Linked DNA regions of Struthio camelus. The protein of the gene in region 1 binds, or shares a complex with, the protein of each later gene. Links are inferred from orthologs where the notes say so. Each region holds a gene or a part of one and is shown in the gene's direction. Other genes may lie near its edges.

What was found.
Region 2: MED8 (region 1) and CCNC share a complex: the UniProt entries of both Homo sapiens proteins name them as parts of the mediator complex. The link is inferred for Struthio camelus from reciprocal best matches to the Homo sapiens genes MED8 and CCNC.
Region 3: MED8 (region 1) and MED13L share a complex: the UniProt entries of both Homo sapiens proteins name them as parts of the mediator complex. The link is inferred for Struthio camelus from reciprocal best matches to the Homo sapiens genes MED8 and MED13L.
Region 4: MED8 (region 1) and MED7 share a complex: the UniProt entries of both Homo sapiens proteins name them as parts of the mediator complex. The link is inferred for Struthio camelus from reciprocal best matches to the Homo sapiens genes MED8 and MED7.

What each region holds. Positions count from the first base shown.
Region 1 is NC_090949.1:25,439,428-25,447,787, reverse strand, and holds the start of MED8 (mediator of RNA polymerase II transcription subunit 8), read left to right. Parts: upstream 1-5,261; 5' UTR 5,262-5,354; coding exon 5,355-5,360; intron 5,361-8,360. Other genes in the region: KICSTOR complex protein SZT2, read right to left, coding at 1,715-1,846, 3,695-3,865, 4,192-4,365, 4,555-4,680, 5,199-5,228. UniProt on the Homo sapiens protein: Component of the Mediator complex, a coactivator involved in the regulated transcription of nearly all RNA polymerase II-dependent genes.
Region 2 is NC_090944.1:54,823,184-54,831,338, reverse strand, and holds the start of CCNC (cyclin-C), read left to right. Parts: upstream 1-4,950; 5' UTR 4,951-5,132; coding exon 5,133-5,164; exon of another isoform or gene 5,165-5,168; intron 5,169-5,950; coding exon 5,951-6,057; intron 6,058-8,155. UniProt on the Homo sapiens protein: Component of the Mediator complex, a coactivator involved in regulated gene transcription of nearly all RNA polymerase II-dependent genes.
Region 3 is NC_090958.1:5,771,578-5,779,458, forward strand, and holds the start of MED13L (mediator of RNA polymerase II transcription subunit 13-like), read left to right. Parts: upstream 1-4,735; 5' UTR 4,736-4,871; coding exon 4,872-4,943; intron 4,944-5,188; exon of another isoform or gene 5,189-5,206; intron 5,207-7,881. UniProt on the Homo sapiens protein: Component of the Mediator complex, a coactivator involved in the regulated transcription of nearly all RNA polymerase II-dependent genes.
Region 4 is NC_090954.1:11,289,921-11,296,348, forward strand, and holds MED7 (mediator of RNA polymerase II transcription subunit 7), read left to right. Parts: upstream 1-4,316; 5' UTR 4,317-4,429; intron 4,430-4,756; 5' UTR 4,757-4,836; coding exon 4,837-5,529; 3' UTR 5,530-5,794; downstream 5,795-6,428. UniProt on the Homo sapiens protein: Component of the Mediator complex, a coactivator involved in the regulated transcription of nearly all RNA polymerase II-dependent genes.

The sequences.
Region 1 (8,360 bases):
TCGGCTCAGGTAAAGCTCAGAAACGCTCAAGGGACTGAGACAGCAATTTCTCACTGCAGCAGAGGGAGTGAGGAGCTTACAAATAAAGGACAAGTCTAGTGCCTGTACATTTAACTCCATGCAAACAGCACTACCCATGCAATGCTGATATAAGCAAATGCAGGTAGGCCTCTCCTGTGCCTTCTATGAAAAACGTCCCCCAGGCAAAGCATGACATTTGTATAATTACACATGTGAGGAACCTACAGAGATCACAGGCCCCTCGTGTCCAGAAGGCTCTGGCAGTTTCACCCTGTAATAAGCTATCAATCCATTTTTACTTCTAATTCAGAGAACGGGTAAGAAACCGTCCCCTGCAAAGCTCGATGATCTGAGCTGGGGAAAAAAAAAAGATTAGAACAAACTACATTTTTGTTCTGCACAAATGGGAAGAGCCGATGGCTGTGAGCAAAAACCTGACCGTGATCATTGTAATTTGCTGGATGCCTTAAATTCAGGCACCTGTTGACAACGATACAGCCGAGGCAACTTCAAAAGTAAAAAAAGTTTCAGTCTCTGCCCTTCCCGTAGGGCCTCCCACCTCCACCCTATCCTATGGCAGGATTTGCCAGTCCCTCTGGCCTGGTAGTGCGTCCCTTTCCTCCATTTGCATAGAAGAAGTTGCAGGGTAGCTGAATATGAGAGAACTAACTGCAGCAAGCAGGAATGCATACAAAGCACTGCAAAAACACCAGCTGGGCACACTGGAAAAGATATTTCCTTCCTGCAAGTCGCTTGCTCTTCCGGGACTGATGGATAGACTTAATATTCAGAGGTATAAATATTTTTCAGCTAGAAGATGAGATTTACACCACTCTGGATATGCAAGTGCCAGAGGTCATCGCTAGTCTCTTGTCCACGTGATTTTGAGACTTTTTTTTTTCCTGCCTTGAGCCCAAATTCTACAAGCTAATACTAAAGGACTAAATAACCTCAACCAGGCCAGCAATGTCTTGACTACAAGAAGAGTGGCCATAGATATTGTTCATTTACGTGAGCAGTGCAGTATCACAATCCAATTTTTTCATTCCTTGTTTCCAAGATCGGGGGATGATCTTGATGAGACATCTACAGACAGCCTGAATCCCTATGAAGTCTTGCTTTACTTTTCACCTCAAGCTGTATTTTATACTGCTATTAATAACTTACTGATACCTATATCCTTGACTAATAAAAACATCTACCACAGATTTTAAGGAGTATTTGAAACTCTACAGGCTGTTTATTCAGCTTCATGGTCAGTTTTTATGGTAACAAGGAAGTATTTTCATTCAAGATTGTAACAAGGGCCAACAGAATATTCACAGCTATTTATAGATTAATGATACAATTCTAATCACCTTTCCCACCATCTTCTTCAGATAGAAAGCAGTCCTAGAAAGAAATCATAGAGTCTGTCCCATGACATCAAAGGAGTCAGGTTGCTTTACTATATAATAATCTCGGACAAGGGAAATGTTCATGTCAGTCCTTCTCCTAAACGCTTACTGCTTCTGCTTTCCTCAGAGTTCATTTTTCATGACTAGATCCCACAAAGTTCTCTTACAAACTCCTTAGTCGTTCCTTCTCCAGACCTGCACTACTGTTCCTCTCGTTGTCAGCCCACCACAGAGGGGCCTCAGAGCGCAGATCTCCAGTGAGCCAAAAAATCCCCAATGACCTCTGCCCTCCTCACCTGTGGTTTAGGTTCATACTGCTGCTGGAGCATCTTGGCCACTTTGTTCTCAAAAGCGCATAGCTGCGCGTACACTTGGTGCAGAAAGGCCTCTTGCTTCGTCTCATCCAGCTGACAGCCCTGGAATAGTACCTGGCCCAGGGATACACAAGGCAACCATTAAGTTAGGGGGTCAGAGTACCGGCCCCCTTAACAGCACACGGGAACGCAGTTCTCACCGGGGCTGTCGGGCATCTCCCTGACAAAGTACAGGTAACGCACAGGCCTCTTCCTGCGTGAGGCCAAATGCATGCATGCAGGGACGTTTCGTGGCATCTGCAGCACACTCTGCAGCAGATGCCTACAGCATTCTCTTGGAATCTCGTTCATAAGCAAGAGCTTTCTACTTCTTTTGCCTTCTTCTTGCAGTGGTCAGGAGAAAGCAGTGTGGAATCCTTGTTAAAAGCCTTTAACTCTGATGTGACATTTCCAAAGAAGGCCTGTTTTTTTTTAATCTAACTCACCTATAGACTGATCCAATTATCTTCCAGTAAGTGGATGGAAAAAGGAACAGTTCGTTGAAATAAAGACAATAAAAAATTTAATCGGATGTTACAGAAGAGGCTAAGTGATGTGACAGAGGGACACTGTCAACACAGAAACTCCCCAAGCTGATAGGCAGGACGCTCGGGCATCGTGCAGACTATCTCTGCCCAGACCCAGGTATCACAGAACACGGAGGCAAACGGGATGCAATGTGCAGACAAAGCGTTCAACAGAAGGCAAGGACGCTCCTTGTTATCATGCCATCCCCTCACCCTAAGGTGAGCACATAGTGACATGGGAAAAATAAACAATTACAACAGATATAGGCTTTCTTGGATGAGTTACACACATATGTGCCTTTTCCTCCACAAAAGGAACACACAGCTTTTTCAGTTATGTCCAGAGATGACAGTTACTGGCCTCACACAAGAAATAAGATTTTAGAACAGATCCAAAGAATAAGAAATTACCAACTTTGCAGTACTCAATTCAGTGTAAGTAGGGGAAATACTGAGGCAAAGCATGGTGATGTCTGAAGGACACCTGGACAAGATTACACACAAAATATCATGGCAAATAGGGAAATTCCTGCTAAGCATACTTTCATAGCACCTAAAAACTGACCAAGGTGAGGGCCACGCTCTTCAAGCACTGTACAGACCATTAAAGCTTGCAGCCTGCACAGAAGGCTTGGGAAGAGGTGGACCAAGGAAGGGAGAGGGAGGGAACAGGTCTATGTTGAACAGCATCATCTGGTTACCACACAATTTCTGTGGTATGACCAATGGCATGAAACACACCATCAGAAACGGGAAAATGATGTGAAACTACTGCGAGGTTGAGGGGACCGATACAAGAAGAATAAACTTCAAAAACCCCTACTGGCACTATAAACCAGAACCTGCTCTGTCTCAAGTAACTGTGAGGTTACTGGGGCTAGGCTGCTCTCTCCAGCAAGGAGAAACATACTCACACTGGTACAAAAAGAGAGCAAGGTTTGTAGGAAGAGGTAATCATCTTTGAATAAATCACTGCTACACAGTTGGAGCAGGCAGACAAGCTTTTGGGCATACCACCTCCTCTTGCATGTTTCAAGTTAATTACAACAGGCCAAAGAAATTAGTCAGCAAAACAATTTAAACAGGGGAAAAAAAAGCATTAGACATAACATGAGGGAAATATTAATTACAATCTATCTCTGAGAACATGCCTACAGGCAGCGTTCTCTGCTAGGCCCTGCTCCCCCATGAGAAACCTCTGCTTCCAGCCCAGAAAAGCTGCTCATGTGCATTCCCCCCATTGCACCAGGCTGCACGTTTGAATGAAACAAGTCTACAACAATATCTTTAACAAAGCCCAGCTAACACATGTCCCACTTCCCTTTGTGTTCACGGGCAACCAATAAAGCAAGCTGCTCACGTGCTGAGATGCGCCAAGGGAGAGACTGAATTTTACCTGATGGGACTGCAGGCCAATGATGGAGGAATATGCCTGGATGGTCACAAAGATCTCTGGCTGGTAAATAATGTCCGAACCAGGGATACGAAAGGGTCTTAACAACCCCACTAAGCATCGGGAAAGAGCGTGAAACACTTCGTCAAAAATTATCTCCCCTGTTGAGTCATCCTACAGAAACAGAGAAAAGAAACTTAGCTTCTTCATCTGCCAGGACTTTCAATCTCATTGACAGCCGCCGCACCACACAAAGCTAACAAAAAACATCCTTCTGTAACAGCAGCTGGTAAGCAAAGGCCACACATGGAGCATCCAGCAGAGACACAGGATCTGCCAGTAAGCTGACCAGCTAGGAGCATTTCATGCCTCACTCCTGGGAAAACAAGTGCTCTGCAAAAGCTAAGACTGACATAGAAAGGAACGAGCCTTCTCAGCAGAGAGAAACGAGTCCAACCTTTCAACAAAGGGCACCCCAAGAAGATAGTTTCTGCACTTACCACAATCCCCGTGGAAGGGCTCAGGTCAAGTTCAATCACAAAGCGGTACTGGCGGGCCAGGAAGGTGACCCGTGTTGAGGGCACTAGGAGATAGGGCCTAGGCTGGACAGGCTCGTCTGGCTGCCATCCATTAGGCAAGATGCTGAGAACATCCAGTTCGTTTTCCGACTTCACCTACATGAAAAGGTGAATGGTAAGTGAGAGAACATTAAGACAAGCCACATGTATCAAAGCAAGAATCAGAATAAAGAATAGGGTTAAAACCTTCTGCAGGGCCTGGCTGCTCATGAGTAGCGCAGAGCCCAGAGCCAGCTGGCCACGTCAGGATGTGGCAAGACCAACCAGCCCAGGGCACCAACTCACCAGCTCCGGCTCAGGCACAGCCCAGATGACCTGATGGAGTCGGCTGAGGACCCAAGCAAGGCGCACGTTGCGGGAGATGCGATAGTCTTTCTTCATCAGGAGGAAGACATGCCCTGCTTCCTCCACCTGCAGCGTGTGGGAGCATGGCAAGCCCCCTGGTCACCCCAGGAGTCAGCCAGCCCCCCAGAAGAGGGAAGAGGCTGGCACTGGCTGGGGCTGGCCACCACAGACCTCACCAGCACCTCCTTAGTTGGCCTTTGCCAGCATCGCTCATCTGCCCCCACATCCACCCCAAGACGTGCCTCAGCCCCTCGCCTTTCCCCCACCTGCACCAGCCCCCACGTTCCCTCACAGACCCAGCCAGCCCCATCGCTCCTAACCACGGCCCTGCCCCCCCCATATCCCCTGTTACCCCCCACCTCAGCCCTGCCCCCCAAAACCCGTTACCCCCCACCTCGGCTCTTCCCCCCCATATCCCAGTTACCCTCCCACCTTGGCCCTGCCCCCCCCAACACCCCTGTTACCCCCCACCTCGGCCCTGCCCCCCCAACACCCCTGTTGCCCCCCCACCTCGGCGATACCCCCCACACCCCAATTACCCCCCCCTTCAGGCCTGACCCCCCTCCGTCCCGGCCCGCCCCCACCTCCGCGTCGGCCCGCTCGGAGGCCGCCATGTCCGGCCGCAGGCCCCGCCCCGCCCCGCGCCCTCTGACCCCGCCCTCCGCCCGCCCCGCCCTTCCCGCGCTGCGCGCCCTGACCCGGAAGCGAAGCTCTCCCGTGGCAACGGCCGCGGTGCCGCCATGCAGGTGAGGGGCGTCGGGCTCGGCCCGGCTGCCGCCGCCGGCAGCGGGGGGGCTCTGAGGGCGCCGCAGGCCCGAGGCGAGGGCGAAGGCGAAGGGGCGCGGGGCTGCGGCTGCTCGGGCCCGGCCGGCCGGCGGCCGCCCGCGGCTCCCGGGCCTCGGCTCTGCGCAGGCCCGAGCGCAGCGTGTGTAGGCCGCGCTGGGCCTCGGCTCCCCTGCGCCCCGGAGAGGTGCAAGCAGCCAGGCAGAGTCGGCAACGCTGGCCCCGACCTCTGTCAAAGGCGCCTGCCCGGCGGCACCTGCCGGGCCGCGTCGCTGCTCGGCTGCTTGCAGGGATGGGGTCGCGCCGAGCGGCCCGGCGGGCGGGCAGCAGCTCTTCGCCGCAGGCCAGCCGTGATGCGCCTCTTTGGGAGCTTGGCCTTGCCCTCGAGCTGTTGTCCAGTGCTTTCCTGTGCAGCAACCTCCTTTTGCTGCACACGCGTAGACTGAGTATGTGTATAGATAACTGAGTCTCTTGTTCCCTCTCAGCAGCCGGTGCAGCCTTTGGTGAGAGTGGCTGCACCGGATCAGGCCAAAGGTCTGTGTCCCCCCCCCCCCCCCATCGTGTTTTTGACACTAGCCAAGAAGTAGGTGCCCGGGAAAAATGGTGAGAGCAGAGTATGCTTGAGGGCTGTTCTGTGCAGACTATTGCTAAAGGGTCCCATGTATTTAATAGCTTTTGATAAACTTTCGTCCATGGAAGAAGGATCCAGTTACTTACTGAACCTTGGGGAATTGTTAGCGTCCATAATGTCCGATGGAAAGGAGTTGCACAGGTTAATGGCAGGTTAACAGGCTGTGAAGAATTGCCTCCTTTGGTTTGTTTGAGCCTGCTACCTCCTGCTTTAATTCAAGTTTCCTAATTGTCATGCCAGAAAAGAAGGTGAAAATGGATTGTCATGCAATTCCTCGTGTACTGATGTTTGTTATATTGTCTCTCCTTCTCTTTTCTGCCGCTCACACAAACTGGTCTCTTTTCTATGTTCGACTGCTATGCCTGTAGAAGCTGACGTATGTCTTCGATCATCCTTGTTGCCTTTCTTTGTACGTACTCCTACTATATCCTTTCTGAGATAGAGGGACAACAGTTACAAACAACAGTCACGATGAAAACGAGGCATATGTTTATACAGTGATATAATGATGCTTAGTTTTATGTTCCTTTTCTAATAAATCCTATTATTGTTTTTGTTTCCTTGACTGATTCTTGAGCCTTGGGCTGATTGTTTTTGGAGGATACTCCAAAGATCTTGGTTTTTGAGTGACAATGTTATCAGTTCAGAGAATGTCATTGTTTATGAGGAGCTAGATTCCTTTTTTGTTTGTTCTGCCACGTGCATTGCTTTATGTTTACCTACACTGAATTTAACCTTTACCTCCCAGTCACTCAGTATCAGGAGGTCCTTCAGCAATCTCTCCTATAAGCCCTCTCTTTGCTACCTTGGGATAATCTAGTATTGTATAACAAACTCCTTAAAGCACTGCTTGAATATATTGTGTGCCTGCAATAGGTACAGAACTTCTTGGAAGTACTGATCTTAAGCACTGGTGAAGCCTGTACACATTACATCTGCTTCCTGCTCTTAACGGCTTTGGAGGAGGCGCTGCTGTGAGAACAATGTGTGGGCAATATGGTTGCATTCGTCTTCTTGAGGGCCTCTTGGATAAGCACAGGCCATAGGCTGCATGAATTGCCTTAGATGCATATGCCTGGCACCTCTGCAATAAACACTGGCTACCTGCCCAACTTGTAATACAGTCATTGATTAATTCTCTTGCACAAGCATAGTGCACACAACGAGTTGTAGACTCATTTCTTAATTGCACAGAAACTGCCCATCTCCATCACAAGATGGAGGAGAGCTATAGTGCTTTAATCTTCAGATGCAACACCCAGCAATCTGCTTCGAGGACTAGGGATCAGATTCTACCAAAGTTGACTCAGCCTTTTTTTTGAAGGTGGTTAAGTGAAGTGAAGTCTGGTCAGTGTTTTCTAAAGATACCTTTTATTTTCTTACCAGTTTATAAATTAAATAGAAAAATCTCATGTTCTCATGGATATAGAAGATACCTGATAATCTCTTCAATGAAGCTCATGCTAGTCCAGTTCATTTAAACAGAACAACATAAACAAACAAACCCCATAGCAAGCATGCAAACAGAATGATTCACCCTCTGTGCTTTCCCAATTGGCATTCCCTTTCTATTATTTGATTGTAATGTCCCACCCTCCAGGTGGATTATTACTGTACAGCGCTTGACTTATATTAGCAGTTTATTAGGGCTGGAACTTCAATTGTATTTTGTGCAACTCTTCTGTTGTATGAATATATAAGAACAGAAAAGATTCTAGAGAGTTTTTGCAAGAGGGTTTTTGTCTCGGTATCTTTGGCAACAGATTCCTTATCCTCTGATTTTTTGCTTGTGGCCATCCTACTTCACCCAGGGATGTTGGTGGAAAAGGAATTTAATCAGTGCAGTTCAGGCAAAAGGCAGGAGGTGACCTGCATGTGTGTCCAGGTTCTGTATGATCCCTATTACAGCAGTGCCTCCCACAACTGGTAAGGCACAAGTAAAATGGGAACTCCTAATTTCTCTAGCAGCTAGAAATGGCACTTGGGCAGGAAGAAGGTAAAGAATGAGATGAAGGGTAGAAACTGGAGTCTTTAGGCCACGGACCCGATGCTTATTTTGCACACGGCTGCTTTGGATGAAGACATTACTGTATCCACATTTGCTAGCAGAAGGAGTTGAGTGAATGCTAATTACCTTGAGCTGGGCTAGCTTAAACAGCTCACAGAAGTGGCATGAGCTAACTCTGATGACACTGTCTGAGGTGGTAAAAAGAAAATGCAAGTGATAATGTCTTCATTGTGCTCATCTGGATCTTAATGAGGGCAGGCAGCTGAGGCTTTGTCTCATGCACAAGTCTCTTGCCTGAGTGCTCTTACTCAAGAAGAGGTCAGT
Region 2 (8,155 bases), on another chromosome or scaffold:
CCGCTTCACAGTTCCCCAGCATCTTCAGTGTCTTAGCTACACCACCAGTACAGATCACTGCAGAGTCCCACAGAACAAGGTCTAAAACGCCTTTCAGGAGTACTTAGTCAGTCTAAGGACAACCACAGTGTGCTTCTCACTGCTCCTGCTACTCGGAAATTCCTGCTTTACTGCTGCCAGTCCCCAGCTGCTGCCAGTCCCTTGGCATTGCCCAGACAAATGATTTCCTGTATGCTGCAGGGACAGAGAGAGAGAGAGATTCACAGAGCATCTCTTTCATGACAGCATCAAGATAGCATTCAGGTCCCCCTACACATGTATGTATGCCTATATATGTGTGTACATACGGATATACACACTTATATACTTACATCCCTCTAGGCACACCTTTGCCTAGCACAATGCCATATATAGAGAGAGAAAGAGAGAGACACACACACATACACACACACATATATATGCACATATATATGCACATATACCAAGAGATGCCTAGAAAGGAACTACAGTTGTTATACTTTCAATGATTTGCTCATTGAATACGTTCACAATTCCTACGCTAAATTCTGCTGAATGGAGCCTTTTCCTTCATTATTGGTGATGGCTTTGTTGGCTGCCTTGCAGAGATCTTTACTTGTGGCTCTGAAAACAGCCTCTCAGTTCAGACAGATGCAGCTGAGGGAGATGTCTGAAGTGGTGGACGGAGCCGGAGAGAGTTTGCCCACTCTGAGGAGGACCCCTAGGGAGCAAGTGGCCTGCTCTTCACACAGTACACTGCTTGCAGACAGCCAAGGCATGCTTACATCTTAGAACAAATTGGTTTTGTCAGACCAAGCAAAAATAGTCTGCATGTGCTCGCAGGTCTTGACAACCATGAGCACCGAGCACAGTCTTCCTCACAGGATAAGCCAGGAGTTACTTCACCTTGCCAAGGCAGTGCCCTGTAGGAGCGCTTCTTGCTCCCACTGTGACCAGCGACAGAAACTCTGCTAACTTTTGTGGGTGCAGGAATTGGCCTGAGCCACCGGCTGCGGCTCCCGGGGGAATGGGAAGGCCATGAGGCAGCAGCTCTCCCGGGAGGGTTGCCAGCTGCCAGCTGTCTTTCTGTCTAGTGGCTCGGCAGCCTTTTTCCGACCCACATTCAGCCCTGACAATTAGGCTTGCAGGATGAATAAATACATATGCTTGCTCATCTATGTATAAGAGTGTATGCATACATATATGCCTCTATATTAGGAGGGAAAGGAAATAACCTCCAAAATGCTGGATCTAGATTCTGCCTTGTAAGAGTCTCCATCAGGGATAACTAAGTTAGATGTTGATTTTGCAGTGGAGGGTATGGAAGTGGGCAAGGCATTCAGGAGTGACTTACTTAACCCTTCCGGGGCCGGGGCATAGTCCCAGGCGGCGAGCGCTATGGGGTCCGGCCCATGGCTGTCGACCCTCCTGCGTGCTTCGGACCTTGGCACGGCTGACACACAGAGGAAGAGGGAGCTCACGTTGCCCCAGTTTACACCGGGACCACACAGTCACTGAAGTTAATGGAATTGCCCCTGTACTGAATTGGCATAAGCAGTATGAAAATCAACCCTGCGACCGTTATTGCCAGGTAATCTTGAATTTGTGTACAGGACTGGTTAACTGCTGTACAACCTCATTGATCTGTGCAGATGGTGAGGTGTCCGAGAGATTTAATTCCTCGGACTTGATTTATAAATTCATTATAAACTAACAGCAATTTAACATCAAAGCTACCAGTAAACTATAAAATATCTTGGTAGTCCTCCAGCAGCTTTTCCACACAGCATGCCAGCATTGGCTAACCCTTTTGTTTACCTATAGACCCTCGACTGCTGTCGCTGACCAAGTTTCAAGCTCTCCTTTTCACATGCCTCAGTCTGTGAGTCAACGTATAGCACTCCTGTATTCACAGCGTCCTACCACCTTGCCTTGTGCTATGTCACTACTCTAAAAATGTCTGAAACTTGTCACAACCCAAGTGTTAATGACCTCTTTCCTTATGTTCTTCCCGCCTCCCCGCCCCCAAACACACACAGAAATTTTGAGCTAGCTTTTAGGAAAAGTGTGATAGAAATATAGATACTTGGACTGTAACAGCATGAGTCACAGCAACCTTATTCTGGGTCCCTAGGTGGCTGTGTGCTTCTGCTGATTCTACTGGTATTCAGCTACGTTCCCTTCAGCCGTTATAAATAGGCAGTTTTTTCACTGGTCTCACTGCAAAAATCAGGTATACTTCCCCTAGTGGTAGTACTGCTTGAAGAAACGGAGAGGCATCCGCCCTCCCTCTCTCTCGGACCTTATCCTCCACCCTCTTTGTGCTGTTATGTAGGTACAGGGATCTACAACTCCTGGTTTGATGCTGTCTTCCCAACTGTATACAGCAGAGGACATCTCAGATCCCATTTAAAAGTGGGGAGCCCTGTTTCATGTATCATCACAATAAAGAACATGAAAAGGAAGCAAAGGATTTAGGCCCAGATTCTCCCTAAACGACTTCAGACGTTTGCCTGCATAGCTGCTCCCCAGCACAGAGCAAGCAGAGTCCTGCAACTCTGGGAATGGGTAAGATAAAGGGAAATTTAAGTGCAGTGGGGACAACACAAGAGAAATAAGTGGCTTTAGTTATTTACTTATCATCCATAAAGCAGTTTTATTTAACCTGCTATTTCAAAGTGCAGCTATTACTTATCAGTTACTGTCAAATAGGATCTGTAGCACCAAGCCAATTCAAGAAACACTGTCTTATGAGAGAGGGCTCAGTCCTCTAAAGCACAGGACTTCTTTCAAGTGCCTGACCACGGACTGTAGTTATGCACAGAAAGAAGCTTATGTGCAAAACTAGCTAGTTTCTAAAACTGGAAAACCCACCATGCTTAAACTGAGTAGGTGAGGGTTCTGTTCTTTCAGTTTTCCCATTTTTAGGACAGAAGCAGTCAAATGGTAACAAGCTGTCTTTTATGATCATACCCTGCTGTCACACAAGAGTTTGCTTAGCCTTTAAAATAAATTAAAGAAGGTTCAGGGTTATTCCAGCACGTGCTGTCCTTTTCAGCATACCCTCTGAGCTTGTGCGAACAGAAACAAGGGCCAGTAATGCACTGCCGGCACTGTCTGGACCAACCTTTATAATGTCCATCTCTAGACACACGAGAAATTGGGAGCAGACTAGTACAGAATCCAGACACCACAAGAACACCATGCAGGAAAGCGTTTTTTTTAAAAGGAAGAATTTCAAAGAGCTACTGCCACCCTTTCAGTGACTTGTCTATCTGGGGAAGTTAGAGCATCACAAACTAAGGTATGCAGGGTAAACCCTTTTTAGGCAAAGTAAATCTTTCGCGTCCAGAATGTGCCGTGAGGCAACCACGCCATATCAAGGGATGCTTGCTAAGTATTTAATTGTGACAGAATGCATTTTGGTTCCACTAAGCCGTTTTTGAAAGCAAGGTGCGGTGATTCTACTGAATTTCAAAACAGAGACTCCATATCTAGTCATTAGCAGCGTTGAACTATATGTCAAAATAAAGATGGAGAATTTTGTCAAGGATGGTGTAGGAAACGCAAAGAAACTCGCATTGTTCTGTTTCACACATCACGTAAATAGGTACCTCTGAGTATCCATTTTGGCGCTCTCCAGTGTTACATAATGGCTGTGCTCCTCTGCTTTCCACAGAAATAGCATTCTTTCTTTGTATAAACGGTACCTCTGAATTTTACTAACAACGTCGTTGCTTGTGCCATCCTGAAGATGTAAGTGTTTGCAATACTGAATCTGGAATGTATTCTGTATAAACTGGCCATTGACCAACAGCCTTTTAAGAGTCTCCGCAGAGCGAGTTAGCATGGAATTAGCCAGCGCGCTGTAGATTCAAACCTTACCTGACTATTATTCCCTCCCCATTTAGGCAAACTGTATGGTATTTTTTATTGCTAGAGCAGCAACAGAAACTTTTGTGCAACTGTGAATCTGGCACAGGAGAGGTAAGTTATTAAGAAACAATAAATACAGGCTAGCGCAATGCTATTTCAGAGGCTCACTTTTCAAGGCTAAGCCACCAGAATGCAACTACGTGTAACTGTAAAATCAATTATAATGGACGTATTGTCTCTGGAGAATTGCTCCCCACACTGCAAGTCTTCAGAGTGCCATAAGCGGTGATTTGCATCAAGGATTGGTTGGGGAGCAGGCTCCCTTGTAATAGAAGTCCTGCCGTTAAAAGACGAATAATCAAGTTCTAAAACACCAGAGAATGAAACCGGGAGTTTCTTTACAACGGACGCTTTTTGCCTCGGTAGGTTTTCTTCATTCTTGGGGGAATCGGCGGGGCCAAGAGCCTCGGCGACTTGGGCCGGTCGGCGGAGACGAAGCCTGGGCCAGGGGCCGCCGGCCGGGCCGAGCCCCGGTGGCGCGGGGCGCCTCCTCGCCTTGGGGTCGCCTTCCAGCAACGCGCGCGGGGCGCGGGGCGCCTTCCCGCTGTCTGCAGCCTCTCCATGTGGGGAGGAAGAAGGGGGAAAACCTGAGGAAAGAGCACCTTGGTCGGGGCTTTGCTTGGCTGGGAAGGGTCCTTAGGGGTGATGGCGAGGACGAACGTTTGGGCCTTGCCATCTGGTGAAGACTCTCCCCTCCTCCCCCCACCCCCGGCTTGGTAGTTTCGTGACAGCGCAGAAGATGACACATGCAACCAAACGGTGAATAAGTGCATTTTGGCAATGAAGGTCACGACGGTGGCTCCTCACAGGCCCCAAATCCCGCCGCCGCCCGTCAGCAACCAGGGCTCGGCGCCGCCGGGAGGAGGCGGCGCGGGCGAGGGGCAGCGGCGGGGCAGGGCGGGCGGCGGCGGCCCCCTCCCCCGAGGCGGGCCGGGGGGCAGGCAGGGCGCCGGGCCGCCGCCAAGGCCAACGCCGCTGGCGCCCGGGGCCCTGCCGCGGCCGGGCGGAACCTGCGTGCAGGGGAACGGCTTCCCTGCGCCGCGTGTTGCCGGTCGGCGGCGGCGGCGGCGGCGGCGGCGGCCGCCTCCTTCCTGCTGCCGGCGCGGGGGAGGCGGCGCGGCGCGGCGGGGCCGGCGGGATCGCGGGCCCGGGGCGCCTCCGCTCTCCTCCTCCTCCTCATGGCCGGGAACTTCTGGCAGAGCTCGCACTAGTGGGTAACCGGGCCGCTGGGGGGCTGCGGGCCGGGCGGGCGGCTGCGCCGGGCCGGCTTTGTTCGCCGCGGCCGGGGCCGGGGCCGGGGCGTAGGGGAGTGCGGGGCCGGGCGGTGCTGAGCGCCCACGCAAACCGGGGTGTATCGCTGCCGAGAGGGCTAGTATAATAGCGGTGAATAATTTAAGGAGGGTAATGGCCATAGCAATCAGTAGAAATAGGGCCGTTTAAATGGCTCGGGAGGGCCTTTTGCCGTATCTGGGGCCTCTTCGGGGCGCGGAGGAGGCCACCCGTGCCCCGCAGAAGCAGCGTTTGTGTCCGCGTGGGCCTGGTGCCCAGTGCGCGGCCCCCGCTGCTGCGAGCGAGGAGCGCCGAGGTCTTGCGGGCCGGTGTCTGTCTGCAGCGCTAGGGCGGCCAGGGTTGCGCTGTGGCAAGGTGCCTTGTGCTGGGTAGGTTGAGTTTTGAATGGATGCCCGAGGTGCACTAAATATAGCTTAAAATTCACAAGTGATTGGTAGCGCACGTCTTAATGCCGTTCACTGTGTTGCGGTTTAGTTTGCTGCGGGTAAGGAGTGATCTTCTTGGTCCCTGCTAGTGTTTTTTTTTTTTTTTTTTTGGATATCTACCTTGGGAAAAGCTAGTGAGTATTTGCTTGGGAAGAACGTACACGGTTTGTTTAAAGGCCGCGTGCCCTTTAGGCCTAAGCTGTAGTCTGTTGTCGTTTGTACAGGCGATGCTTAATATGATGTTCATAAAGAGTTGCTAAAATTATTTTCTCTCTCTTTAGTTTACAATGGATTTTGGATAAACAAGATCTATTGAAGGAACGCCAAAAAGACTTGAAATTTCTTACTGAAGAAGAATATTGGAAACTACAGATATTTTTTACTAATGGTAAAACTGTTTTATTTTTAGTTCAGCCATGTAATCTATATAGTATTTGCCGTGTCTTCGTGCAAGTTTTAACTGCTTAGAGAATGCAATGTTTTCATTGTTGTATTACATATGTTTTCCTAACATATTTTAATGAAGGGCTGGAATATCAATAGCGTTGTCATTCAGATTAGTTGTATTAATGCATCTTTAGGATAATTTATAGATGAATTAGCTGCGTATGTCTTTTTTTTCTAATTTATGAGAGGACAAATAGTAGATTTTTTTATTTCCAAGAGGCTCTTATGAAAAAAATAAAAGGAGAGGAAGCCAACAGAAACTACTGAAGTAGCAAATTGGAGACACTGTGTTAAGCAGTAGTACTCAAACTGTGGGCCTTGAGCTTTTTTGATGAGCTCTTAAGTCATAGTGTTTTAGCTGGTCCATGGAGTCTTGCTAAATAGCTTGCAAACTTGTCAGTTGTGTTCAGTTACGCTCTTTGAAACCCGCTCCACAGCCTGTGGCCTCATGACTGGTTCCCCAGCACTCAGTGGCTCTCAAGTGGCTGGATACTTTCTACAAGACTGAGAGCTGTCAGCAGCCTGTTCTCCTAGAGAGTTTCGGGCTTGTCTCTGCGCAGTTATCTGAGACTAGGTCCTAGAAACCATTTGACCATATGAATAGCTTTATTGGCGGAAATCAGATTGGTCAAACATACTTGAGGCAGAAAAGTTAAGTGGCTTTCCCAAGGCTATTGAAAGATCTTATGTTGGTGATGGATTATAACTGAAAAATACTTATCCCAGCCTCTCTCTTAGCTTAGCTTTTTTTGTAATGATCAAGTATGATGCAAATCTGATCACTGTTTTTAGGTCTGTGTTCACTTGTACAGCACCAGAAAATCAAGCAACCAATGATTTATCTATTTGATTGATTTCTGAAGTTTATTGAGGATAAAACAAGGTATCTTAGCTTCATAATGCCAAAAGAATAAATGGGATAGTGACAGTTCTTAAATGATATTTCTATGTTAATTTTCACTAGTATTAATTTGAATTATGAAACATAAAATACCTTTTGCCATTTTTCATGTTTCATTTCAGTATTTTTATTGAGTAAACAAAGGTTTAGAAAGTAGACGAGTCGGTTTCACTTTGTGGTTGACAAGCTCCTTTTCCTCTGGCACTCCTTGCCTCTCCTGAGGGTACATTGCATGGCCCGTGGCAGCTGGAGCATAGCTCTGCGAGCATCTCCCTTGTGCGTGGACCAACACAGCATACCCTGGAGGAGAGAGTGGCACTGGGCTGTCAACCCTTCTGTGGCAGAGAGAGGCACCTTCACGGAGGGGACAGCCTGGAGCTCCTGTGTAGCAGTGGGAGCTCATGCAGTGCTTGCTTTGCTCGAGCCCTCAATATGTGTTATATCTCGCCACCTGCCCCCAAATTCAGCACTCGGCTTTGAACGTAAAGAGCTTTTTTCCCTCTTTTCTCCCACCCCTGCATTAGCTATGACCGTGGCTTGCCACGTTCAACCTGCGTCTGCCTCCAGGAGACAGTCTCTCCCCAAAGCAACCAGGAAATTACCTGGAGAAAAGCAGCTTCCTGCTTTGTCCGCATTTGAAAATGGTTGCTGTAGGTCACCGACTGGTTGTATGACTATATACGACTACTTGAACTGTTAAAACTGTAGAGAAGGAAAATTGTCATCTTCTGAAATAGTTCAAAGGAGGAAATTCATGCTGACTTTTCTGTTTGGATCACAGAGTTTTTAATAGAGGTTTTGGCTGAAAAGCCAATTAATTGATTTCCCTTTTTGACTGAGTGCAGGAGTCGTAATGTTTGTGTTACAGGCTACTCAAAAAACATTTGAATTTAAAGCAACGTTTTTTAAAAAAAAATCTGAAACCCTTTATTTTGTAAATATAAGGGCATAAATAATACAACAGTTTCTTTTAAAATACTTCAAAAATTAATTACAAGTATTGGAATTTTTGCTCAGCATGTACAAGCTTCCATTTCATTAAGTCTCTCTAGGCCCCTTGTCAATTTTTTTCCATAAACTCACTTGATTTCTTTCTGACAGCAGATGGCCTTATCGTTCCTGAAAATCCCATGGGAGT
Region 3 (7,881 bases), on another chromosome or scaffold:
TGCTCCTGGAGGTTGAAAAAATAAACACAAATATAAATAAAATGAAAATAAACCTTTTAATACCGAAAAGTTCACAAATCTTTTTTTTTTTTAAGTGTGACTTAGGTTAGCAGACTCCTTAGTTTTATACATTAATAAAGATAAATTTAAAAAACAAAATTTGATTAGGGAAATACAAGATCATTTTTCTCCTATAAATTTAATTGCCCTACTCTTTGAAGTAATTTGTAGTCATTTTACCTTTGTAAAACCTGGATGTTAAAAATGAGTCAAAGTTCTCTGAAACTTGGAAAAGGATATGAAGAAATAAATTGAGATGTAGAATTAGACAGAAGCAGCAGTACAGCCACCACTGTTGTATTTCACCTAGCTCTTGAACATATTTTCATAAAAAAGCGTGGGCATTGCCCTTGCCGACAATAATTTTTTTTGGAAATAACAATTGTAGGCGGGGGACATTCTTATAACTCAGGCTTCTAAGCCTTTCTTTTAGCTGGAAATGAGCTATCCCTGACCCGAAAAGTCAAACGCTGCTGCTTTTGACGCTTACCAAAGTTGGCTGGACTGCAGTTCGACTGCTGGTGTTGGAAGGACCAAACTGCGCGACCGGAGGTGGGAGAGCCCTGCCTGGATGTAGTGCTCAGGCCAGTTGTATTCCTCAAGTAAATATTCCTGTTGCAAGTTTGTGAAAATACTGCAAAGTTGACGTGCTTTAAGGCAAAATAAAACCATGCAATTACTTGTCATTTTAGCTTTGCTTTAGCCTCCTGACAACTTTATTTCTTCCTCCATGTTTAGTTTGAAGCATAAGCAACACCTGCTGGTACAAACAACGTCTATGAAACTGCTGAGCCATCCTCCTGGGAGAACAGGTTGGATCATTACTGTAAGCTCTGGACAAAATAATCTTGTGTATCAGTGTTGGGACTCTAATGTTGGAAGGGGTCTCTAAGGGCGAGTAACTGGCTTCTTCCCAGGGTGCTCATCACGTCTCTATGGCGAAGACCAAGTGTGATACAGCTGGTTTCCAGGAGCCTGGAAACTCCTTGCCACTTCTGAGTTTTGGTCTTGCAGCTAGCAGGTTAATATGTTGGCAGAGCTACTTGCAAAAGTTTGTATATCTTGCTATTTTAGAAAAATGGGTGTTTGGTTAAAGCAAAAAATCCAATGTTATTGTTCATGTTCATTGATCAATTTTTAAAGAGCAGCAAAAGAAAACAGGGAATAAAACTCGAATAGCCTGAGTTGGGAAACACGTTCCACCACATACCATGTAGGACAATTATGCATGAGCAAGTGTCACTTGTACTTGAATACGATATCTGTTAAGTGGAACGATTTCTGTTTTAAGTAACGCTATTGTCAGAATACAGCGAGGGAACTTTCCTAGATTGGTACGGTGAAGTGAATGATCAGACTGTAATGATTTCCTGCACCTATAACTAAAACATAGTATAAAATCAAGTAACTGGCAAACCATCTGAAGAGCTGCTAGCTTTTTTTTTTTTTTTTTTTCAGTTTAAAACCAAATTGAGCTTTGCAATGCAAAGACCTGGTCACAATCTTCTAACCAATAGCCATTCAGAAATGCTAGCAGCAACTCTGTAACTTCAAAATATTCACCCAATAAAGGTAGCTTTATCACACGGAAATATTTTTAGTGTAAGAGTTGGTAAGTTTTGTTAAGAATCCTGAAAAACGGCCAAGGCAGCAATAACGTGAGTATATTAACGTTTCTCCCTGTGAAGACGGATCTGAATCATATGTTAGGCCCCAGCGTGTGGTTGTCTTAAGATCATGAGAAAATCAGGTGTAATTAATAATCTCTACCCGGAAGATCCGGAAGAGGAATTCTGACACCTGCATATACCGTTTGGAGAGAGAGAGAGCAGCACATGGCAGAAACATGAACCCCCTCCTCTGCCGTGTCCCATTCTAAGCGGTATTATTAGCTTTCTCTGGGGCAAGTAATCATGTGATACTCAGTTTAAAAGTATTTCTCAAATAAGAAAATGCTACTTATTTCATGATGAGGGATGTCCTTTTACTCCAGAAATAGGATACTTTTTATAAGGCGTTTGTTGCACCCTAGGTATTATTTGGTGACAGGACGGATAACTGATGCTGCGGTGTATTTACAAAGAACTATATTGTTTTAATATGAAAAGCTGTCGTTTTTAGACTTTGTTGGTTACTGTGTGTTACTTGACGCGTTTACAAGTGCCAGACTGTGTCCTGTGTTTATGAGACCTGGAGCCAAGAGAAAGTGGAGTAAGATGGTCCTGAGTTCTCCTGATTCTGGATTGCTTAACGATCCCGAAGGAAACGTGCGTTCGTGTAGAGAACCGTGATGGCCGGGCCAAACTACAGCGAGCAATTTCCAGGTTATGGCAGTTTGTCTCCTTAGCTTTGCCCCTTACCAGTTTGGGGCTTTCACAACGTTTCTGTGCCACCTGATGTTCCTAGGTGACTGAAGGAGGATAAAAGTCCCCCCCTCGGGTGACTCCAGGGTTTGTTTGGCCACCTAATTAGTGTTTTTTTCTTTCTGAAAAAAGCAATTGTGACAAAATGTGGTATTCAAATAATTTGTTGGAAAACACTTTTCCTCCCACTAATATAGGCCCAGTGTTTGCAAGGCAGAATTTCTGCGGGGTGCAGCAACGAAGTGAAGGCGACGAAGTCGGCCGGCCTCGCCCGAGGAGGAGCACGCGCCCGCAGAGCCCCGGTCGCGGCGGGAACCTTCCGCCGGCCCAAAGCCTGTCGCTCCGCGCACGTAACGCAGCTAAGCGGCTGTGACGCCTGTTTGTGTTAGAGGTCTGTCGCTGTGAGGTAAGTCCGGACAAACTCCATCCCGTCATTACAACAGATGCTAATCTTTTTAATTTATTGCAAAGAAAAGTAAGTTGCCAAAAAGATGCCTAAATAAGATAAAATATCGCAAGGAAAGCTGCTCTCTAAGCATGGCGAGAAAAATTTTTCCACTGAATCAAGTGACTGAAAACGTGTTACGAATCTGTATTAAAGTGAATTGCTAAACAAACCATCTTTCCAACGGTGCTATTTGCACTGCATGGCCCGTGACGCGGTCCGGTTGCGGGTGAGAAGTCGAGACACGCGAGCTGTGATCTGCGTGAGCAAACCGGGCTCCTGCTGGTGAGCATCAAAGGGTCGTTATGGACGTTAATTAAAAAAATCAGTTGTTACGAATTGTGTGTTAAACGAAACTTTCAGTTATTTGTGATTTGCTAGTTGTGTCGTGCCTAACCTTTCTTCTTCCCCAGAAGGCGTTATTTCAGTTAATTATTTCATTTGTTTCTGCCACCCTTGCAGAATGAACCGCACACGATGCCTGTATTCGGGCTGAACAAGGGCGCGGAGCTGCTCCGCTTTCTTGGGGGACTCGCGCGCCGCGGTTCGGCTTGGAGGGTCGGGCCGGGCTTTTAGGAGGGGACCTGCCCGGGGGCCGCCCCGGCCACCTGCCAGCCCTCCAGCTCCTGTCTTAAAACTCCTCTGAGCATTCCCCGGCCCCCTGCGGCGCAAGGACCCGGCGGGAGCCGCACGGCCGAGGCACCGCGGGGTTGGGGGGGGGCGCGGCCCGGACCCCCCCCCGCCCCCCCCCACGGCCGCTCAGGGCAGGCGCCGCGCGGGGACGCCGCGAGGTTCGCGGGGTCGCGAGGCGTCGAGGGCGGCGGCGGCGGCGGCGCCCGCCCCCTCCCCCCTCCCCCCGCACCGGCGGCGGCGCCGCGCTCGCGCTCCCGCTCCCGCTCGCGCTCGCGCTCCCGCGCGCCCCCAGCGGCCCGGCGGGCGCCGCGGCGGGGTGAGGGAGGGGCCGCGGGAGGGAGCCCCAGCGCCGGGCCCCCGCCCTCCGGCGCGCGTCACGTGGGGCGGCGGCGGCCAATGGCGAGGCGCGCTGCGCCTGGCGGCCGCCATTGCTGTCAGAGTGGCGAGAGGCAGAGGCGAGTGTGTGAGGAGGAGCTGGTGAGCGGGGCCGCTGGGCGGGCAGCGCCAGGCGGAGGGTGGCGAAGACGGGCAGGGACAGTGCTCCCTCTCCGGGCCGCGGCTGCCGCCCGCCGCCCGCAGCGCCGGGGGCCCCGCACGGAGCGTAAACAAGGCGGCGGCGGCGGCAACAGCAGCAGCAGGAGGAGGAGGAGGAGGAGGAGGAAAACACCATCCACCCGCAGCCAGCGGCGGCAGCAGCGAGGGGCGGCCGGGCGGGGAGGGAGGGAGGGGACACGGCCTCCGCCGGCCCGCGAGACAGCGCCCCCCCCGCGGCCGCCGCCGCCGCCCGGGGCCCGCGACCCTCCCCCGCCGCCCGCCCGCCCGCCCGGCCCGTGCGCGGTAGGGGCCGCCGCCGCGGGGGGGCCGCCGCCCTCGCCCCCCCTTCACCGCAACGTGCGCCCTGAGCGGGGGGGGGCCCGACCTGGACACGGAAGCGGGGCCCCGGGCGCCCCCCCCCTTCTCCTCCTCCTCCTCCGCCCGGCGGTGCCGCGGCGGCCTGGAGCAGCGCAGGAGGCGTCGCCCCGCGCGGCGCCGAGCGGCCGGGAGCGGAGCGGCCGCGTAGCCGGCCCGCGGGGGCCCCTGCCGGGCCGCGCCGCCCGCCCCGAGCACCGTTTGGCGGGGGCCGGCTGAGGAGGAGCGCGGCCGCCGCCGCCTCGGCGCCCGCCCGCCCGCCGCCGGGGCGCCGTCCGCCCCCCCCCCCCCCCCCGCCCGCCCGGCGCCCCCTGCCGGCCGCGGCCGGGGGCAGGACAGCGGCTGCCGGCCCGGCGACCGCAGGAGCGGGCTGCGTCGCGGAGTGGCCGGTGCTTCTCCCTGCCTGCCGGGCCCGTCTCCTCAGACATGCCCCGCTCTGGCGGCCGGGCTCGCCGAGGATCATGACTGCAGCGGCGAACTGGGTGGCGAACGGGGCCAGCCTGGAGGACTGTCACTCCAACCTCTTCTCGCTGGTGAGTGCCTGCGTGAGCCCCCGCAGGGGTGGGCGGCGCGGCAAGTTTGCCGGCTGGGTGCAGCTGCCGGGGGCTTTATAGTCGGGGCCCGTGGGGCTGCTCCTGCGCTGGCCCCTCCCCCGGCTCGGCGCCCCGTGTTTATTTTGCTCTTTAACGTGGCTTGCCGCGAGTGTGCGTGTGTTCCTCGCACAGCTGCGTTCGCCGGGCTGCGGGAGTGCCTGCGTGTCTGCGTGTGTGCCCGGCATGTGCGACCATCTTCTCTGGTAAACAGTCTTTTCTCCCCGCCTCCCTTGGCACTCCGTGCCCTGGTGCTTTGTGCCTACCAAACTGTGGGTTTTTTTTTTTTCCTCCCCTCTTCTTCTTTCATAATGGCAAACGCCATTTCAGCAGCAGCGAACAGTTTGCGTAGCGTGACTGCCTCTCGGACTTACCTCTGGGCTCTCCTGACTAGATGCCAGCTGTTTTGACCCTTCTTTGAACAGGTTGTGGTTGGGGACAAGAGATTTAAAAAAAAAAAAAAGAAGCTTTTAATTTTTTGTTTTCAGAAGAAAAACGGTAGCTGAAAATGTAGTATGCTGGATAGCTTGATGATCTAGGTGCTGTCATCCCCTCTGGTTGGTAACTGACAACTTGTACTTGCATTGCATGGTATAATTTTACAAAAATCGTGGTATCAGTTGTGACTAGCTACAGGGTCTGTATGAATTTAAAACAAGAAAACCATTAGTTTTTGTATAAAGGCAATGTCACTTGGAAATGTCTTGCTTTATTTTACCGGCCACCTGCAGCAACCTTATCCCTTCAGAGCGGACAACAGATCAGCGAGTGACAAGACTGTTAGATCACCAACAGTCTTCTAGTGCTGCTAGGGCCAATGTCTAGGGGAAGGAGGGATTTTTTTAATGCGTGTTATAGTATAGTTAAAACAAAAACTTGCAGTGTAAGTTTGGGGATAAATGTATGAAAGATTTGTGGTGGATAAAACCCTTTGCCCTCCCCAGTGCTCTGTAAGAATTGAAGGTAGATACATATATTTGATTTTTTTTTTCAAAAGAAAGGAAATGACTGTTATTGCATTTATAAGAATTAAGGAAAAAAGAAAGTGAATTGAAAATGCAGATGATCAGTCTTTTTGCTGTGTGATGGCCTATCATTCTTCTGCCTCTGTTTTCTTTAATTTGTATGTGTGTGTTTTTTATGTGGCTTGTATCTGTTAAGTATCTGGGACAAGGGCCGTAGTCTATGCCTGTGTGTTCTGCTAGGAAGCTGGCCTGGAGATTCTTCTGTGAGAATAAATAAAATTCTTATTTTGGCTTTTTATTGAACAGTTAGACATTATTTAGGCTCATATTTACGTTTCTGTTTGTGATAGTGTTTTCTGATATTTAGAAGTATATAAGAATGCTGCAGGAATTGTAATGGTGATTTTTTTTGAATACACTGGTCTTACACACTAAGAAAAATAAAATGATAAGCATGAGGGAGATGGTTGTATCTGATTGCAAGAGCAAGATAATGGATAGTTACTCTTTCACAAAAAAAATCAAATTGTGCAATCCCTATTAATTCATGGAAAATTGATTAGCATGTTTTCGAGAAGCATAACTTTTCATGTAGTTGCAATCCACAAATCTGTCACTGGTGAAATAATGTTGGTGCTCAATTAGCATAAATTATAACATTAAGTTATTTCATGGTTATTGTGGTTGCATCTATCTATTCTGTTTTATTTCACCGTACTAGGCTGAGGAAACATTGAAAATTTTTAAATGCACCTGTAATATTGGTGAAATAAATTTTGCAGAGTTCTTTTGAAAGTGTTTTAGTAATAGGTCTAATCTGCAACCCTAAATCTCCCATGTAATTTTGTGGGAACTAACCATACCTGTGAAGTGGTGCTATGTACGAAACTATAATAGTTTTATTCTTTTCTGGCTCTACTTGCAAAAAATAACTGATGAAATAATATTTTTATATAAGCACGTATATACAAACACAGTAATTATTAGGGTGATTTATTTCCAATAGCATTAGTATTCATTAGGCCATATTTATCAATGAAAGTCTCACCGTATTGAGAAAGGAAATACTGATTGGAAATATCTGGTCAGAAGCATTGACCCTTTAACCTCAAATTGTCATACTTGTCTCAAAACTTACCATGTGTTAAAGCTACGGTAGTCTGGATTACTAATTAAAGACGCTCTTGCTGATTACTTACTTTTTCAATGCAACAGAACAAAAACATGCACAAACTAATCAACTGTTAACGGGGAATCGTCCGTTCTTTAGGAACGAGGTGGATTGCAAAGCTGTATTTAAACTGATTCTGCTATTAGAATTGAATGTTAAATTTTTATCTCAGGCGTTGTTTTGGGTTTGAGTCAAAAAGTAATGTTCTTGACTGCAGAATTATGCTTCTGAAACAGTTATAATCTGCTGTGACTCTCCTTGTCTATTTTTAAATAATGTTTTTTCCCCACAAACATTCGGCTTGTTTAAGAAGGAGCAGTATCCTCAAAGCGCAGAGAATCCAGAGCTCTGTTGTGGTGTCTGTGATTGGTTGCTGTAGGGGATTTGAGTTTGTTTAGCACATCATAAATTGATGATTTCAGCTTATTTATTCCATCAGTTGTAGACGGTCTGTAGAGAGATGATAGCTAGACACCACTGTTTCTTCTGCATCTTCTTGTGTGAAATATTTTCTAAAAATACATAGCTTTCTAGTAACTAATCTCCTCTATCAGTGAGGTCAAGAATGTATGGTGGTTCTTTAGCTTAAACTGTTTTATTTGAGGGGAAGGCGTTGCCAAAGGTTAACGTTTTAGTTAGCTTTCAGTAGGCAGATGCTGAATGTGATCTCGGCCTTAAATAGTTACAGTTTCATGAAACGTCACCCTGGTGGGTGATCTGAAGGGCTGTCGTCTGTCTTGTGTAT
Region 4 (6,428 bases), on another chromosome or scaffold:
TTTCAGACTACTTGGGAAAAAAAAACCCTGACTTTTATTTAATATTTAGACTGCAGTAGAAATCCAAATGGAAGAAATATGTTCATATACAAAAAAGAGCAGAGCTCTTCTAAGACAGGGCATGAAGGTGCGGTATGTATTATGTATTATGCATTTTCTGTTCTTGTACAATACTTGGCTTCAGAATTCTGGTAAGATAACTTAACACACTCTGATGGCACGTACTGTACACATAGTTGCTGAATTAACAAAGAGCAGAAATGCCTGCTAATGAAACACACCAATGTGCCTAAAATTAGTTATGAAGAATAACTGAATCAATTTAACTAATGCAAAAAAAAAAAAGATCTTAGGTCTTTGAGGCAGCTAGTGTCACTGTACTGATTCCGTACCTGCTGGAGGGGTTTCCAGGTTCATTCCTACAGTTTGGAGATGCTACAGCAATTCTGTATTCTGGAGATAGTTGCAGTATCAGTTGTGAGCTTGTACTGGACACCGTAGAGCATGCACATTTCAGAAAAGAGCTGAAACATGGCAGAAAGCATATTGTAGAATGCTATGCATGACAGCACCCACCATCCTTCTTCATTTTTCATTTGGAATCATTGTAGAAAGAAATGTTAGCAGTTCCCCATATGTTGGAAAGGGTCGTCCATGTGCCTTCTGCGAATCAGCCATCTTGCTACTAAGAATGAGACTGAAACCCTTTTTTCTTCCTTCATTAGTTGACATTTTATCTGCTATGTTTTGGCCACTACATACAGACTGGGAAAATGACTCAAGAAGATCACAGACATCGTGTGAAAAACAAGTGCTTGCTTGCCCACTGTCTCCTACTTTTTGAACTACTTTACAGCTTTGCTGCACAGTTCACAATACCAGGCAGTAGAGCATCAAGCTCAGCTTTTATTACAAGAATGTGAAATCAGTCTGGAAAGTCCAATAAAACCAAAGGTGCGTTAGTACCTCCTGATGGGTTTTCTCATGTACCACTGGAGGCGGTGCATTTTATCCCTTTTCTGTCTTTCACGGTATGATGTCACAAGGTGGTTTGAGACAAACTAACAGCTTGCTGCCACAGAAAGGAGAGCCATTCCTGTCATCATCTCCCCTACCTCTGCCGTTTCTGCTTCTACCCTTGTGGTCTCATCACTTACTTAAAAGCCAACACTGATGTTCACTGGATCGCACAGTGAATTGACTCTGCACTAGAAGAGTGGAAAACCTAATCCAGAAAAATGATAGTCATGTTTTCTATAGAGTTTGAATAAATGCCAGGACTGGCACAAAGTGGTGAGAAGAAAGAATTGCATCGCCAGAAGTGGGGGGGCTGAAGGAGCAGTGAGAGAGGAAAGGAGAGTCAGGGCAGGAAGAAAGAGTAGGGGAGGAAGGTGAGGGAATGAGACCTCCCCTTTCAAAAGCAGCAAACTGTTTATTAGCTCAGTTGTAGCTAATACGCAAGGGTCCCACACAAGGGTGTGAGGAACCACACCCTTGCTCTGTGTCTGAAAGCCATATTCTCAGTTCCATATTTATGTGCATTTGTAAGATCTGCATCTCCACCCTGGAGTACTTTCCCTTCTTGAAAATGATTATTTGTATGTATTGAAGTAGTGTTTAGAAACCTCTACCATGTAGAAAAAATTATAAGCCATCTAGGATCCCCCTGGCTGATAGTACAGGATTTTCTACTCCAAACTGTTTAGATTCTAAACTGACAGTATCTCTAGCTAGTGAAAGAAGTGAATTAGCACTAGTATTCTGACTGAATATAAATGAAGACTAAAGGTCTCTTAAATCTTCCTGCCGACCCCTAAGACCTTGTGGTTTAATCTGGAGAGTGTGAATGACTGGTCCGTGTCATACAACAAATCTGTGGCAGGGCAGACTACCAGAGTCCCAGTTCCATGCCTAAGATGAAGCACTCCTTCAACCTGTGGAGACCCTGGGTTCCGTAACTGTGGCAGGAGAATGGGAACTGGTGGCAGCTTTTTAATCCTCTTTATTAATTTGTTTATTTTTAAAATCTTGATTGTCGAAAAAATTTAAGTATACAATATTTATCTTGAACTCTCCTACATGTCAGAGGGATGGCTACCCTAGATAGCGTGGTGGTGAGGAAATGCTGAAAATAAAAAACAGGACAGCCAAACCACCTTATCCTGTCCTGTTTCTTCTGCGTTGTTGCCTACATGGCTTCCCATTAAGATATTTATTTGCAAAGAATAAAAGCTTTCTGTACGCAATCTCCTGAGACTGAACAATCCATTCAGCACTTACACTATTCAGTGCTTGTGACATTTCAGACTCATTATGGATGTGTTTCTGAAAAGAACACTAGATTAATTCACATCTTCAGGCACCACACAATCCTCAATGTAAGGACCTTTGTCTCACTTTTTAAGTAGAACTATTAGTATCAAGGCAGAGAATGTGAAAATATCACTTATGTTGGCATCATCTAGCAGTCTAAAGACTCTAAGAATAGAGATTGTGCCCAAATCAATTTACCACCAGTTTTCCCTAAATCAAAGTTGTAAGTCATTGCCAAATGGCAAGGATAACCTCCTTTGGACAACATGCATAAATTGTGGTCTAGCTATGCAACGAAAATAAATCCTTGAGCCTATTCTTTAAAACATGATATAGGATATATATATATATATACAAGAATGTGAAATCAGTCTGGAAAGTCCAATAAAACCAAAGGTGCGTTAGTACCTCCTGATGGGTTTTCTCACGTACCGCTGGAGGCGGTGCATTTTATCCCTTTTCTGTCTTTCAGGGCATGATGTCACAAGGTGGTTTGAGACAAACTAACAGCTTGCTGCCACAAGCTGTTAGTGGATATGTATATATGGATAAATACGAAGCTATAATTACATTGATGACACCAATCTGTGAATAAAGAGAAAAGAGTTAGCAGGACAAACCTTTAACTAAGTAATGATCAGATAAGAACCTAAGCAACATAACATAACATTACCATGGTAAGTACAGCACCACCAAAGAATAAGGCCATCAAACTTCACAACGGCAGACATCTTCAGCAAGTTCACTGAATGCCATCCTCCTTTGCTGTGTGACCAAATATGTTGTTTTATTGTGCTTGTCACTCAGTCACCTGAGAACAAATGTCAGCTTACTTTCCTCCCCAAAATATACCCTGCTTACAAACGAAAATAGGTCAGTTTATTTTGCAGTTGGGGTTGCATTCATTGTCAGTCCTGCCTCAAATATAAAGGGTTGTGTCATCTGGAATATTTAGCGAGCAAAATGTGAGCTGTAAATATTTGTCAGGTTTTCTAGTCAAACAAACTCAATTATTGTGGAGTTTTACGCATTAGTTTACAAATAATTAACAGGATCCACGGTAATTACCTTTCAATCAAAAGAATTTCTTTGCAAAATGATGGTTTCACAAAGTCAATCTGTAAACGGTACTGCACAGGTACACCACGGGTCCCTGCCAGACAAAGCTTATTGCTGCCCTCTGCTGAGGAAGAGACAACATAGGACCTAAACGGCTTAAGTGTCAAAAATCCTCCCGTGTGGCCATTTCGGGCAGGGATGCCCGCCGAAGCGATGCCAGCAAACCCAGCCACCCACGCTCCGCAACGTGGAACGCTTAAACCCACACCGCTATCTTCAGCTCGGCCTAAAACAAAAACGAAGCTACAGGACAACGACAGAGCCCCGGCGTTCATTAGAGTCTGTATGCGCTGAGGTTTAGCGTATCCAGCTACAGGAGCGACGCAGATAAAAGCATTTTGCAAGGTGCCCCCTGGATTTCACGACCAACGCCCACGGTCCCAATGCGCGGCAGCATTAAACAGTACACGAGCGCTGCCCAACTCCGTGGGTAATCATATTTGCGGATCCCTACGCCAGGATGTTTCTCAGCCGCAGGGGAATGAGGATCACCACCAAACGCCTGTCCCCGAACGCTACCCTCGGCCACGGCGACGCCTCCAGAGGGGGCTCGGGGGCCCGAGGAGGCCAGGCCGCCGCCCGCCTCGGGGCAGGCCTCACCGCCTCGGCCCCACAGCGCCCCAGGGGCGGCGTCTGCTGCGGGACCGTTGGGGACGTGCGCTCCGCGTGGGCCCGCGCACGGCGCTGCCCCGGGCACGGCAGCGGCTACACAGGGCCTGAGCGGGCGGCGACCGCAGAGCCCCGCCACGACACACCCCCTCCCCCTCAGCCACCGGCCGCCCCGCCTCCGCCGCGTAGCCGCTGGCCCCGCCTCCCGAAGGAGCCAGCGCGCTGAGTGGGGCAAGCTCCTGACAGGCGTGTGGGAAGACCAATCAGAGCGCGGCGCAGCGAGCGGGACGAGCCTAACGAGGGAAGGGGAGGGGGCAGCGCGCCGGAAGCGGGTGCCGGAGGCGGTGGCGGCGGCGTTGAGGGGAGCGACGGCGGCGACGGCGGTTAGGTGAGCGCGGATGTCTCCTGCGGGCGCTGCCCGCCCCCGGCAGCCGTGGGCCGGGCCCGGCCCTGCCGTAGCGCGCCAGGCCGCTCGCCGCTCCCCTGGCCTCAGCGGCGGCCTGTCGGCCCTCCTCGGATATCCCTGCCCCGCGCGGCCGGCCCCGGGCAGGCGCTCGGCTCCGCCGGGGGCTCGTTGGCGCGGCCCCCCGAGGGTCTCCGGCCTGGGAGCGTGTCGTGGGGGCGAGCTAACGGGTGGTGTCCGGGAGCTGCCGGGCCTTCCGCCTCCGAGGGGCCTCTTCCTCCGGTGCTTTTCTCACAGCCGTCTCTTTTACAGCGTTTCTGGTGTCCGTCTGCCGTGCAGGTCGTTAAGCGTGTGTTTCTTGGGGCGTTCCCGAGGTGTTTTCGTCTAGCAAAATGGGCGAACCTCAGCAAGTGAGTGCTCTTCCTCCGCCACCAATGCAATATATAAAAGAATATACAGATGAAAACATCCGTAAAGGTCTGGCCCCAAAGCCACCTCCACCTGTGAAAGACAGTTACATGATGTTTGGTAATCAGTTTCAGTGTGACGATCTAATTATTCGACCCTTGGAAAGCCAAGGTATTGAGCGATTGCATCCTGTGCAGTTTGATCACAAGAAGGAGTTAAGGAAGCTTAATATGTCTATCCTGGTCAACTTCTTGGACCTGCTGGATATCTTGATAAGGAGTCCAGGAAGCATAAAGCGAGAAGAGAAACTGGAAGACTTAAAACTGCTTTTTGTTCACGTCCATCATCTTATAAACGAGTATCGTCCTCACCAAGCTAGGGAGACACTGAGGGTCATGATGGAGGTGCAGAAACGTCAGCGTTTGGAAACAGCAGAGCGATTTCAGAAGCATTTAGAGCGAGTTGTAGAGATGATTCAGAACTGCCTGGCCTCCCTGCCTGATGATCTGCCTCACTCGGAGGGAGGATTGAGAGTGAAAGCAGAACCCATGGATACTGATGATGGCAACAACTGTGTTGGACAGAGTGAAAAACAGAGGGAACGTTCAGGTTGCAAGAGAGATCAGGTTTTAGACAAAGATGCAGCGATGTGTAGCATTATTGATGAAATGACATGAAGAAAACACTGTTTATTAGCTCATCATAGCAAGGGGCAGAATGGATTCTAAGGCTATATGTTACACTTTAATTTACTGTTGTACAAGCAAACAAAGCATTGATTTTATGCGTGATGGGAAGGATTATGAAAGACTAAGCAGATGGAAATGTTCAATATGTTATGTAATCTGTGTGTTTATTCATAAGAACCAAAATGTATAGTTGTTAAAAGCATCATGTGAAGTGGAAGCAACAGATTAAAAGCCTTTTTTTGGTGTACTTTGATGTAATTTGTCACTTGCTGCTTTTTTGGGTATATTCTGTTTGTTACTTGCCGTGAAGTGTGGAAGCAAGTAAGGGATCAGACAGAGGAATTGCAGTTGATGGTTTTTCCATTTCAAAGAGGCTTTAGTTGCTTACACTTTCAGTGGATCTTTTCTAAAATACATATTTCAATATTAAAAGTAAAGTCAGTGTCAAGTCTGCCAAATCCCTTCATCTAACTTTATGCAAATGTAATTGTACAAAAGGACCTAAAATTACTTCACTAGGGATGTAGCGTGTCACAATCTCCTATGGAAAGAGGGAGTGAGAGAGGCTTACGCTGTCAGGAATTTTGGGAATGAAATGGGTTAAAAATAATTAGATTTTAATTTTCTTAGATGTAAGTTATAACCAAGCGTGAGATTACAAAAATGCCCACATATACGTCCTCTTTTGTAGTTTGAAATGAGGAAGTGGTCTCCTTAACCTGCCCATCCTGTCAGGGAAATCTTAAATCTTTCTTTTTGGTGTGCAATATTGTAGTATATATGTTTTCCAAACTCTGTGTACAGCAGCTAAAAAACTGCAGTAAACTTCAGGGGTGAGGGAACTTGCACGAACTCTGCTTTTTCACCATGGTTTTGTAAGCCGTGCC